Linked DNA regions of Macaca mulatta. The protein of the gene in region 1 interacts with the protein of each later gene in a pairwise test. Links are inferred from orthologs where the notes say so. Each region holds a gene or a part of one and is shown on either strand. Other genes may lie near its edges.

Region 1 (4,229 bases):
TGCCTCAGCCTCCCAAGTAGCTGGGATTATAGGCGCATGCCACCATGCCTGGCTAATTTTTGCATTTTTAGTAGAGATGGGGTTTCACTATGTTCGTCAGGCTGGTCTCGAACTCCTGACCTCAGGTGATCCGCCGACCTCAGCCTCCCACAGTGCTGGGATTACAGGTGTGAGCCACCGCACCCGGCCAGCCTTGGCTTCAAAGCTGAGGGAGATGCTGAAAACACTGCAGTTGTAGGATGTCAGCTAACTATGGTCCTTGCACCTAAATGGCAAGTTCTTTCTTGAAGTGCATTTGAATAGCACATGTCCAGTTTCCTTTATACCTTTCCTTTATATGCTTTAAAGATAGGTCTGGAGAAAATACTTTTCGGAGGACATACCTCATTTGGGTGCTTCCGGTGGAATTCCTTTATTTGCTTGAGTCTATTATAGAATTCAGCAAACTCATTGGGTCCTGAAATAGCATTGAGCTCCTCCTTTCGTAATCTGCAATTTCAGGAAAATTTCAAAGATAGAGCACAAAGTCAGTCCTCTAACCATGGCTCCTCAGAAGCACTAACTCCTAGATTAGCTGTGACTGTCACTTACCCATCCTTATCATCATACAAATCCCTCAGGTTCCCACTGACCTCCATATACCTCTGAAAGGCAAATACAAAACCATCAGAATGAGGCAATTTGCACAAATGTAGAGCTAAGCAAACAACAAGGGCTCTCCAGTCAAAGCCCAGGGCAATCTCAAGAGATACGGACATGGTCTTAACAGTTCTGTGCTTCCTAGTACCTTTAATAGCCCTGTTTCCTGGTTAGTTTTTCAATAGCCCTTTAACAGCCCTGATTCCTGGTTAGTTTTTTAAGCAGGTCGATTGGAAGATTACCTAAATGATAACATTTAAGGGGTGGCTCCTATTTTTACATACCACCGATGCCTAACTTTCCCTGTAACAGACTCACCCTCTTTGGCTAAACACTAGCTCCCACCTAACATCCTCAAAGATAAAGATGATATTCACTATTTCAAAAAGCTTGACTGAGGAGTAGACAGGCTAAATAAACATTACATAGGCTTCCTTTGTAGTCAAAATATACTAATTCGGGATGGTACAGGTACATAGTCCCCTCCTCCAAAACTTTTGGGCCCAGATTTGTTTCAGAATTTGGAATTTTTAAGTTCAGAAAAGGTATCACATATTATGTAACAGCCCTAGTGGAATCTGGAGCACACAGTTCTGCAGTAAACCTTATACCTTATTTACTAAGTGGGGTAAATTAAAGACCATAAAAAGCCTATCACAGGTTCAGGCCAGTAAACCTGTCAAGTGAGAGCAGGTCAGATTTTGACACCAAATAATCACCCAAGGGGAAAAAAATAAAATCCTTGGTTTTCAGAGTATTTTGGGGCTGAGGGCTTGTAATCTGATCATCTCCTGAAAATCAGAAGGTCCAAGTAAGTCTTTTATTCCTTTTTAAACAGGTTTCAAACGTACCCAAGAGTAAGGAACGTAGTAAAATGAACCTCCATTTACTCATCACCTTGTTTAAAAATTTAAATAGCATCTTGTTTTTCTTTTAAGTAATAAATTGAACTACTACCAGACAAATGCAGTTTAGTAGTCCAAAATGCTTTAAAGCAGTATCCTGGGAGAAAAACACTAATATACGGTATACATACATACATATATATATATATATATTTTTTTTTTTTTTTTTTAAGGCAAGGATTGTAGCTGTGCACCTGAGTCATGGACTCCTCATAACTATTGTTTGCACATCCAAGGGATACAGGATGCTGTAAGAACGGACACGTGTAAGCCAGGCGCAGTGGCTCAAGCCTGTAATCCCAGCACTTTGGGAGGCCGAGGTAGGTGGATCACGAGGTCAGAAGTTCGAGACCAGTCTGACCAAAATGTTGAAACTCCGTCTCTACTAAAAATACAAAAATTAGTTGGTGGCGAGCGCCTGTAATCCCAACTACTCCGGAAGCTGAGGCAGGAGAATCGCTTGAACCCGGGAGTCGGAGGTTGCAGGGAGCCGAGACCGCGCCTGGGCAACAGAGCGAGACTCCGTCTCAAAAGAAAAAAAAAAGGGGGGCACCTTTCCGATTAACGAAGAATGCGTAAGAGTTCCCCATTCAGAGAACTGAGGAAGCACCCTTACATCCGGCAGCCTGTGGACATCTGTCCAGGCAGAGAGCTCGCGACTGGCCAATCCGGTTACCTTTAGCCAGTGCTCATACTGAGACCCCGCACTTCACTTCCCCTCTCTTTTCCCGCCCTCGCCAACCCAGAGTGACAGACAGCTGGGCACTCACATCTTGCATGGCCCGAGTGCGGTGATCAGAATTGATCTGGTCCCGGAGCTGAAAAAGCAAACGGTGACACAAACGCCGTTAGCTTGCGTTCTGGAATAGAAAAGGCCGCCCGAGGGCGGAGCTTACCCGCTCAGGTTTTATCCGCTCAGGTTTTAGCAGCTGAGGAAGAAAGGCCTCTGGGGCTCTGGACCCCGGGAGGAGGTTACCAAGACCGGAGCTCGGAGAGGGAGCCCCGGAGGAGGCAGGAGGCGGAGTGCGGGGAGGCGCTGAGGGCCAAAGCAAGCTCTCAGAGGTCAAACACGGGATTGAGGCCCATGCCCCTGCCGCAGCCCCTGCTCAGACCCCACTCACCGTGGACTTCTTAGTGAGCATCTCTTTAGCCATGACGTCCATGAGCCGTTCCTTCTCCTCATGATAGCGCCGCTGCTGCTCCAGTATTGTCTCCATCTTCCCTTAGCCGCAGCCTCCCAATTCAGACCACCTACACGGCCGGAAGCAACTCCTGCCGCCCGGCGCGCCTGAGTCCCCACGTTGCGCATCCAGCTGCATCAAAGTTCCGCGAGTGCCGGAAGTGCCCGGGGACTTAGGAAAACATGAGCACCACAAGGAAGGCCAGTCTATGTTATGGAGATGGCAACAGTGCCACCTGCTGGTCGGAGGTGTGGTGGAGCGATGCCGAGAGGTTTGCAGATACCTCCAGGGGGCATAGGAAAACCCAAGAGCCCGAGGTTCAGCGGACCGCTTCCTGGGGCTTGCTGGGGCCGGCTGGTCGGGCAGGTACACTGTGGGGACTGCGCGAGCAGTTGGAGTGCAGCTGGGAGATGGGAAACCGGAACTTGAGGACGCAGCTTTCAGCGTAAATTATGAGAACATTTTCTGCTTCTCTGGACTTCAGCACCTTTCTTAGTAAAATGGGAATAGTGGGGTTTTGCTGGTGGTGTTTTTAAAGAAATTCACATGTGAGGCTGGGCGCGGTAGCTCACGCCTGTAATCCAGCACTTTGGGAAGCGGAGGCGGGCGGATCACTTGAGGTCAGGGGTTCGAGACCAGCCTGGCCAACATGGTGAAACCCCGTCTTTACTAAAAACAAACAAACAAAAATTAGCCGGGCGTGGTGGCACACACCTGTAGTCTCAGCTACTCCGGAGGCTGAGGCAGGAGAATCTCTTGAACCTGGGAAGCAGAGATTGCAGTGAGCTGAGATCGTGCCACTGCACTCCAGCCTGGGCAACAGAATGAGACTCAGTCTCAAAAAAAAAAAAAAAAAAAAAAAAAAGGAAGAAAGAAATTCACGTGTAGAAACGACTTGTCTATCGGCAGGGAATATGTTAAATAAAATACTGTGCATCCAACGGGCCAACGAGGTCAGATCAAGACCATCCTGTCTAACATGGTGAAACCCCACCTCTACTAAAAATACAAAAAATTAGCCGTCATGGTGGCACACGCCTGTAGTCACAGCTACTCGGGAGGCTGAGGCAGGAGAATCGCTTGAACCCAGGAGGCAGACATTGCAGTGAGCTGAGATCAAGCCACTGCACTCCAGCCTGGGCGACAGAGACAGACTCCGTCTCAAAAAAAGTAAAATAAAATAAAATACTGTGCATCCAAGCAGAGGAAGACCAGCTGTGAAATGCTATACAGCCTTAAAAAAAAAAAAAAAAAGATTGTGTCTATATATCTTCACTTGTAAGTAGAGAAATGCAAACATGTCCATGTGTTCACATGTTCACGGCGGCATTATTCATAATAGACAAAAACTGGATGCAACCCAATCGTCTATTAACTGGCAAATGGATAAAGTGTGGTATATCTATACAGTACAATGGAACATTATCCTGCAATAAATGAATACTACAATGATGAACCATGAAAGCATCATGCTAAGTGAAAGAAGCCAGATAGAAAAACAACA
Region 2 (3,644 bases), on another chromosome or scaffold:
ATCTTTCTTCTCAACAGGGGCTGCAGGGTCTACCCCTCCGACTCTTTTCCTCTTGGTCCTTTTCAGACAATTTGAGAGCACCAAGCACCACACGAGGGAACCTAGCACCGTGTCCCCTGCTCTCTGGCCTAAGTAAGCGTCAGTGGGCTAAAAGAGCCCCATTAACAATTCCCTCCTAGAGGGCAGGTCCAGTCCCCAAGTGAGGAACAACTTCTACAACTCTTAAAATGTAAAAAAAAAGCGTTGGGCTGTATTCTTTAAAAAATTAACTAAAATCTAATTCCAAAAAAGGTTCTTCAGAGTAGGGTTAAGCAGTTCATTTAAATTATTTGTTCTACTTGTTATTAAACAAAGAGATTACAAAACAAGAAAAAAAGGAGGGTTACACTTCCCAGAACTCTTCTAGGCAGCTGCTCACCCCTGTGGCCCAACTCAACCCCGTGGGAAGACATGAAATGCCAGGACGAGCCCTGGAACCAGCCACCAGTCCCTGTGGGGTCAGAACGCCGACCCCAGCCCACAAGCACTGGCATGAATGAGAAAACCAGAGACCTGAAGGTGCCAAGAAACAGCAAACTTGGCAGCAGGGTAAAGACCTGGCCTGGACTCTTCTTCCACGGGGTTTTCAGGACAGCCTTTGGGCTTGGCTTGGTACTGGGACAAGGGAAGGCAAATCAGAAACAACTGCCCTCAGGAAGAACTCAGTCCCTGACTGCAGTGTCTCTTTGGGGGAACCAATGCCACCCCCCTCCGCCCCCCAGACGGGCGAGGGGCTGCACCCTTAAAGCAGGCCATTGGGCCTTCCGGGCTCCAGGGCCAGCCCACCCCGCTCCCGCTGGTGGATCTTCTGGTGCTGCAGGAGGTGCTGCTTCTGGACAAAGCTCTTCTCACACTCGGTGCAGCTGTAGGGCCGCTCACCCGTGTGGATGCGCTGGTGCCGCACCAAGTCAGATGGGTGACTGAAGCTCTTGCCACAGTAACCACAGATGAGGGAACTCCGGCTTTTCCTCCAAGGGATGTGGCCAGGCAGGGCAACCAGGCTGTTGGGTGAGAACCTCTCCTGGACATGTTGGCCGGCACTGGGCCCCTCCTGCAGGTGGCAACGCTGATGGGTCACCAGGCTCACCTTGCAGCTGAAGCTCCTCAGGCACACATCACACTGATGTCGCTTGGCCTTTTTGGTCTGCGGTTTCAGCCGTGGCCTGGGCCTAAGGCTCTCCTCTGGCTCCTCAGGTGTACAAGACTCCCACCCCGAGTGGCTGCTCAGATGTGTGGCCAGCTGCTGCTTATAGCGGAAGGTGATCTCACACTCAGAACATTCGTAGGGGCGGGAAGTGTCCTTTTTCAGCTTCAGGCCCTGCCCACATTCCTGGCCCAGCTGTACCTGCCTATGAGATTTCTGCTTCGGGCAGCCCACAGTTCTGCTGCTGCTAGGATCTCTACTACCAACAGGCTCCTGTAGAGTCGAGTCCCCGGGACCTGTTTCCAGGAGGACAGAACTGCCCTGACCACCCCAGAGCTCAGTCTGCTCCGGGCTCAGGAAAGCCTGCTCTTCAGCAATGCATGAGAACTCTCCAGGAAGATCCGCAGGGCCTTCCTGTGTATACTGTAGCTCCTGTTTGATCATGACCCCACCTGCTGCAAAGTGGAAGAAGACCAACAAAAAAGATCACATTCTAGTACCTTTGGTTTCTTCAGGACCAAACAAACATCTGTCAATTTCAGAAGCACCCCAGAAATAAGTGAATTAGGACAACATGGAGGAGGATGACACTGGCTAGGTTCCAAGACTTGTATAAAACTATTCATGTATAGTTTTTCCAATGTTGACTGGAAATATCAATGCATTACTCTTATAAAATACTGTAAACTATAGTTCTCCAAGCTTGTCTACAAATTTATATTTAATCTCTGGGAAAAATGACAGAATACACTGTAACAACTATACTAAATTAAGAGTGTTAAAATAACACATCTGAAGGATTAAAGACAAACTAAACCTACAGCTTAAAAATTCATGTCCAGCTCTGTTCTTCCTCCATAACCTCCCAAATTACCTAGTGACAAGTGCTTTTCCTGCACTGCCTTCCCTCCTGAAGCTCTGACATGCCCACACTCAATCTCCGGCAGGTTTTGACTACCGCCTAGTATGGTACTCTATTCTGTAGGGCATGAAGAAGAGTGATTGATGTGGCCGTTAGTCTTAAAGACCCCATAGGATGGTAGGAGTTGAGGCACATGTAACAGCTGAACTAACAACAATCATAAAGGAGTCCAGAACAAGCAAAGCCAGATGAGTTTACCAAGTCAGCACCTGGCAGGTCAGCCATGGGAAAGCTCACTCTAGGCTGCAGAGGGCTATGGAAGGGAACAGAATATTCCAGAGCCACTCACCTGGGTGGGCACCACCAGGACCTTCCTCTTCCAAGTCACCCAGCATCTCTGTACCCAACTCCGCTTCTCCCTCTGTCTGGCCAAGGACCTCTGGGTGGGGAAACAGCACGGTGTGAGTCCAGGAGAGAGCAAAAGCTCACTGCACACTGATCAGCTGCCAATGACCAAGGTGACCAATGGCAGGGAGAAAATACTAAAGCTTCAACAGATTCAAAGGCTACTGCTCGTGTCAGTCTCCCCTAGCAGTTTGGGACAATTATAAAATTCTGGCCAATCCTAACAACTGACTTGGCTAGCTGCTGCCTCCAGTGCTCCTCCATTAGAGGGCCTGTGGCTCAGGCAGGCAGGTTACAAAGCTACCACTGCCCCTGATGGCACCACCACCCACCTCTGCCTCTCCGTGTGTGCAGTTTAAGTCTTGCCAATGCTTCCTTTTGGGGGATCTAATTTCATCCTTGCTAAGGCACTGCAAGGTAAGATGGACACTGGGACAGACAAGGAAACAGTCCCAATGAGAGCATGTGACCCAACCAAGCTTACAAGGTCACTTTTCTGGCCCATTTTCTATTTTCTTTACCTCTTACTCTGCTCCAGGCACTTGACACTCCTCCATGTACCTAGGTTTTAAAAGACTTTGTCTACCAAACAAAAAGCATTTATTATGTAATAGGTAACATTTTGCATATAAAGACTTATACCTATTAAGTAGCACTTCTAATCAACAAGCAAAAATCATTGAGACCACAATGACCAGCTATAATTCTGGCCAAACACCAAGAAAATGCTTTTGGTCAGCCTGTGCTGCCTGCCTCATCCAAGGTAACAAAGGGTTGTCAAATCATCTTTTTTCTTTTCTTTTAAGCAAAAGAGATTTCACTATGTTGCCCAGGCTGGTTTCAAACTCCTAGCCTCAAGCTATCCTCCCACCTTGGCTTCCCAGTGTTGGGATTACAGATGTGAGCTACCATACCCATCTCAAATAGTCTTAAATATTAAAAACAGCATGGGAGACCACATGCGGAGGCTCACGCCTGTAATCCCTTTGGGAGGCCGATGCAGGTGGATCACTTAAGCCCAAGAGTTCAAGACCAACCTGGGCAATATAGTAAGACCCACGTCTCTAAATAAAATTTAAAAATTAGCCAGGCGCAGTGGCGTGTGCCTGTAATCCCAGCTACTTGGAAAACTGAGGTGGGAGAATCATTTGAGCCCAAGCTGTCAAGGCTGCAGTGAACCGACATCATACCACT
Region 3 (4,370 bases), on another chromosome or scaffold:
CTGTGGGATGGCCACCTTGCAGGCCTTTAACCCTTTATAAGAAATAAAGTCTCCTCTCCAAATTTCTGGATGTTGTGAGTTCTAAGTTAACAAAGTAAAGAGAAGGAATTTGGGAGACTGACAACTTTGCAAACCAGAGCCACGATAGAAGTTTGAACTTTTACTTAAGAGAGAAATAAATGTCATTCTTGCTTAAGCAACTTTTATAGTGGGTATATTAGTCGGGTTGACATATAAAATTAACCATCACTCTGGGTCTCGTTTACAGTAATAGAATTTTTTTATTTTTTTTATTTTTTGAGACAAGGTCTTACTCTGTTAACCATGCTGGAGTGCAGGGGTGTGATCATGGCTTACTGCAGCCTTGACCTCCTAGGCACAAATGATCCTCCCACTTCAGCCTCCTGAGTAGCTGGGACCACAGACACTGGCTAATTTTTAAATTTTTTGTAGGGACAGGGTCTTGCCATCTTGCCCAGACTGGTCTTGAACTCCTGGGCTCAGGTGATCCTCCCACCTTGGCCTCCCAAAGTGCTGAGATTACAGGCGTGAGCCATCATGCCTGGACACTGTTTTTAAATAGTGAAAAAAAGGACTTGAAGTACTATTTGTGAAGATTGAGACCTCTTGCTACATAGGATTTGGAATCACAGGCTTCTAGAGATGGAAGAGGTCTTAGGAATTCACATTTTAAAGAAGGAGGAACTGATACCCATAGGAGTTAAATGTCTTAGCTAAGGCTACCCAGTGCTCTGGTGAGGGACAAGGTTTCCACCTTCTAGGCCAGTACTCTTACCCCTAGGCAAAAGGTTCAAGAATGTGCAGGCGCCAAGCTTTAGTAAAATCAGCTATACTAAGCATTGTCAAATGTTTTAGCCAACAGCAAAAATAATCAAGATGAAACAAAATTACTTTTTTGATTAAGTGATCACCAGCATTTCATAGACATTTATTTGACAAAGGTTTTGATCCAACAAATGCCATGTACTGTCAAGGTGAGCAAGACAGAGTACTACCTACCCTGCGGTTGTTCACAACTTAGTGGAGGGGCAGACATGCAATCAAATATTAGAATACACTCTGTTAAAGCCACATGTACAAAGATCTAGAGTGCTATAGAAATGTGTAAAGCTAGGCCAGGCATGGTGTTGCTCACACCTGTAATCCTAGCACTTTGGGAGGCTGAGGTGGGAAGACAGTTTGAGCTCAGGAATTTGAGATAAGCCTGGGCAACATAGTGAGACCCTGTCAGAAAGAAAGAAGGGGAGAAAGAGAGAGAAAGAGAGAGAGAGAAAGAGGAGACAGAGAGAAAGAAAGGAAGAAAGATAGGAAGAGAGAAAGAAAAAAGAAAAAACAAAGAAAGGAAAGAGAAAAAGAAAGAAAAAAGGAAGAAAGAAAGGAAGAGAGAAAGAAAAAAGAGAATGGGAGAGAAAGAGAAAGAAAAAAAGAAAGGAAGAAAGAGAAAAAGGAAGGAAGGAAGGAAGGAAAGAAGGAAGGAAGGAAGGAAAGCTGTGTTTCTCAACTGAGGAATGATTCCAACCCTGACCCCAGGAGACATTTGGCAATGTCTGGAGACATTTTTGTTATGACTGGAGAGGAAGGGGGTGGCTACAGGCAACTAGTGTGTAAACGCCAGGGATACGGCTAAATATCCTAAAATTCACAGGACAGCCCCTCTGACTTAAAAGACTTAACAGGCCCAAAATATCAATAGGGCTGAGGTTGCTAACCTCTGGTATAGAGCCAGCAAAATATCTTCTAGAAGAGACAGGGAAGTGGGTAAAGCTTGGTTTGGGGATGAGGGAGTGGTTAGGGAAGAGTTTAGTAAAGAGATAAAGACGGGGGTGTAGGGGAAGGGAAACTCCCAGCCGAAGGGATAACATGTACAAAGCTGCAGAAGAGTGGCAATCCCAAACATCCGGGAAAGAGCTGTGGTCATTAAGGCTGGACTGCTAGGCAGGAGCCAGACGTGTAAGAAATCATATTGAGTTAGAGGAATTACTGTAAGAAAAACTGTTTGGCTCTATGGTGGCTCTTTATAAGTCACGCAGGAGCATAGTGCTGGGACATCTCTCTGTGGGCGAAAACTGCTGAAGAAAGCTGTATGAAAGAAAGCTCATCCTGCTTTCTTAGGGCCTGGTGTTTTCCAGGCCTGTGTTACTGTCTCAGAGACAAAGTCAGGGCTGCTTCACTGGAATATGAGAGGTGAACTAGCTCTCTATTAAAGCCACTCAGCGAGTGTCTTGATGGTGTGATGGGATCACGAACAGGGGTGAGGTGGTTATTTTCATGAGTTAGGCTTAATATAGGCTGCTGCTGACGTGTATTTCCTCTTTCATAGAGCATCCCTAGTCCAGAAATGGGGAGCTATGAACCTTAAGATTAGACTACCAGTTTGAATCTAAATGAGCTGCCCTCTTCTCCTACAAAAGAAAAGTTGGGCAGGTAGGGTATTGTAATGAGGGTTTCTCTTTCTCTTAAGCAAATGATGATCAAAGCAACTGACAAACTGTCACGGAATCTGCCAGACCTCACTCTGGCCTTGCTGCTTCTCTCCAGCTCCTGAACTTTTCTTCCTTTTGTCATGCTCTGAGCCCATTCCTTGAAAACTAACAGGTCCCTGACTTCTGGTCTGCAGACATCCTGGGCCTGCTGAGCTCTGATTCAAGTGCCTGCCTCTGCCCCTTGGTAGGCTGAAGCTTCATGGAGGTGAGTGATCCTTTTTTTACTTAGCAGGGCTTCTAGGAATAGTGTGGAAAACAGGATCATAGAAGAGGATATGGATTTGGGAGCACAAAAGGAAATTAATGAAGAGAAGTATTTAACTTGTGACAGCTGGTAGCTACTATACTCTCTCCAGGCCTTGGAATAACTGATAATTTAGACTAGAGAAGCTGGTAGGAAACTAATGAAATCCATCAAAACATTTTGAGAAAAATTAAATCACATACTATACAAAATTTGCCTTCATTATCAATGTAATCATTTTGTTTTAGATTTAAAAATTATTATGTATAACTTGGATTTCTTACAATACCTTCACATTTGATTATTTTGTATTTAAGGCAGAGTCGATACTCAGATAGTAAACATTTTTAATTGAATTCCTTCCTTTAAGACCTCTTCAGAGCTAAAACAAAGGAAGTTATATTCTTCTCAACTTAGTGTTTTCCTGATTGTTAGACAGACAAAAGAAAATGCTTATTTACTACATGAAAGCTTGAAAAACTCACTAAAATTCATCGACAAGAGATGTTGACACAGGGGCCCTTGAATCCTGAGTTATTATCCATTTCCACCAGTTTCCACTTCTTATAAAGTTTAATTTCATTATATTAATCATTAAGATCAGTTTCTAATTTCCTCTATCATAGGACCTTTAGGTTTGCTGTTACTCATCTCTGTCCTCAGCTATTGAAGCAAACAGGGCGATAAGCATTTTGTTTATAATTTCTAGGGGAAAAATAAACACTATTGCCTATACCTACTATATTCTTATTACTTTAAGGCCAAGTCAGTGAAAATAGACACTTTTCCATAATAGTAAAAAAAACCTGTTTGTGTGATAGTGAGCTTCCCATTACTTCAGACGTTCAGGCAGAGGTTGGAAAGGAGTGAATTAAATGGCTTAAAATTTCTTTCAACTCTGAGAAGCTCCGAGAAGTCGGAAAGTTCAGAATCTTTCCTTCTGATGTGAAAATGGCATGACTTGTGAAGCAGGAGTGTGTCTTGCTCTTAGGTTTGGGCTGGCTGTGCCATATCGTTTGTCTCTGTGGAGGAATTGTATTTTTTTGCTCTCAAAGTTAATTATTCATAAAATCTGCCCATCAAAGTTTAAAAATTACTTTGAAGGAATAAAGGTTGAAAAGCAAATGAACTCTCCTTAGATATCTTAACCATGATTTCAAAAGTTTACAACACAAAACTTCTCAGGAAAAAAATGTCTCTGGTAGAAATTAAGGATTTCTTATGCAAGCTTCCAAAGACTTCATAGCTCTAATCTTTGCCTTTTCTCTGCTCTTTGAGAATATACACAGTGAACCAAAGGAGGAAGAGATGTTCTTTCTTTGTTTTTTTTTTTAAAGACAGAGTCTCACTCTGTTGCCCAGGCTAGAGTGCAGTGGCACCATCTCAACTCACTGCAACCTCCGCCTCCAGGGTTCAAGTGATTCTCATGCCTCAGCCTCCCGAATAGCTGGGACTACAGGGGTACACCACCACTCCTGGCTAATTTTTTTTTTTTTTTTTTTTTTTTAGTAGCGATAGGGTCTCACCATGTTACCCAGGCTTGTCTTGAACTCCTGACCTCAGGTGATCCTCCTGCCTCGGCCTCCCACAGTGCTAAGATTACAGGCCTGGGCCATTGCGCC

Evidence for each region.
Region 2: the proteins of SF3A3 (region 1) and ZNF212 interact in binary tests that used the Homo sapiens proteins (3 or more experiments, as listed by UniProt). The two-hybrid records come from large-scale screens. The link is inferred for Macaca mulatta from reciprocal best matches to the Homo sapiens genes SF3A3 and ZNF212.
Region 3: the proteins of SF3A3 (region 1) and TRIM69 interact in binary tests that used the Homo sapiens proteins (3 or more experiments, as listed by UniProt). The two-hybrid records come from large-scale screens. The link is inferred for Macaca mulatta from reciprocal best matches to the Homo sapiens genes SF3A3 and TRIM69.

What each region holds. Positions count from the first base shown.
Region 1 is NC_133406.1:202,804,473-202,808,701, reverse strand, and holds the start of SF3A3 (splicing factor 3A subunit 3), read right to left. Parts: upstream 2,819-4,229; 5' UTR 2,762-2,818; coding exon 2,666-2,761; intron 2,363-2,665; coding exon 2,315-2,362; intron 645-2,314; coding exon 592-644; intron 490-591; coding exon 384-489; intron 1-383. UniProt on the Homo sapiens protein: Component of the 17S U2 SnRNP complex of the spliceosome, a large ribonucleoprotein complex that removes introns from transcribed pre-mRNAs.
Region 2 is NC_133408.1:189,074,199-189,077,842, reverse strand, and holds part of ZNF212 (zinc finger protein 212), read right to left. Parts: intron 2,485-3,644; coding exon 2,395-2,484; intron 1,639-2,394; coding exon 782-1,638; 3' UTR 1-781.
Region 3 is NC_133412.1:22,145,985-22,150,354, forward strand, and holds the start of TRIM69 (E3 ubiquitin-protein ligase TRIM69), read left to right. Parts: upstream 1-1,461; 5' UTR 1,462-2,703; coding exon 2,704-2,709; intron 2,710-4,370.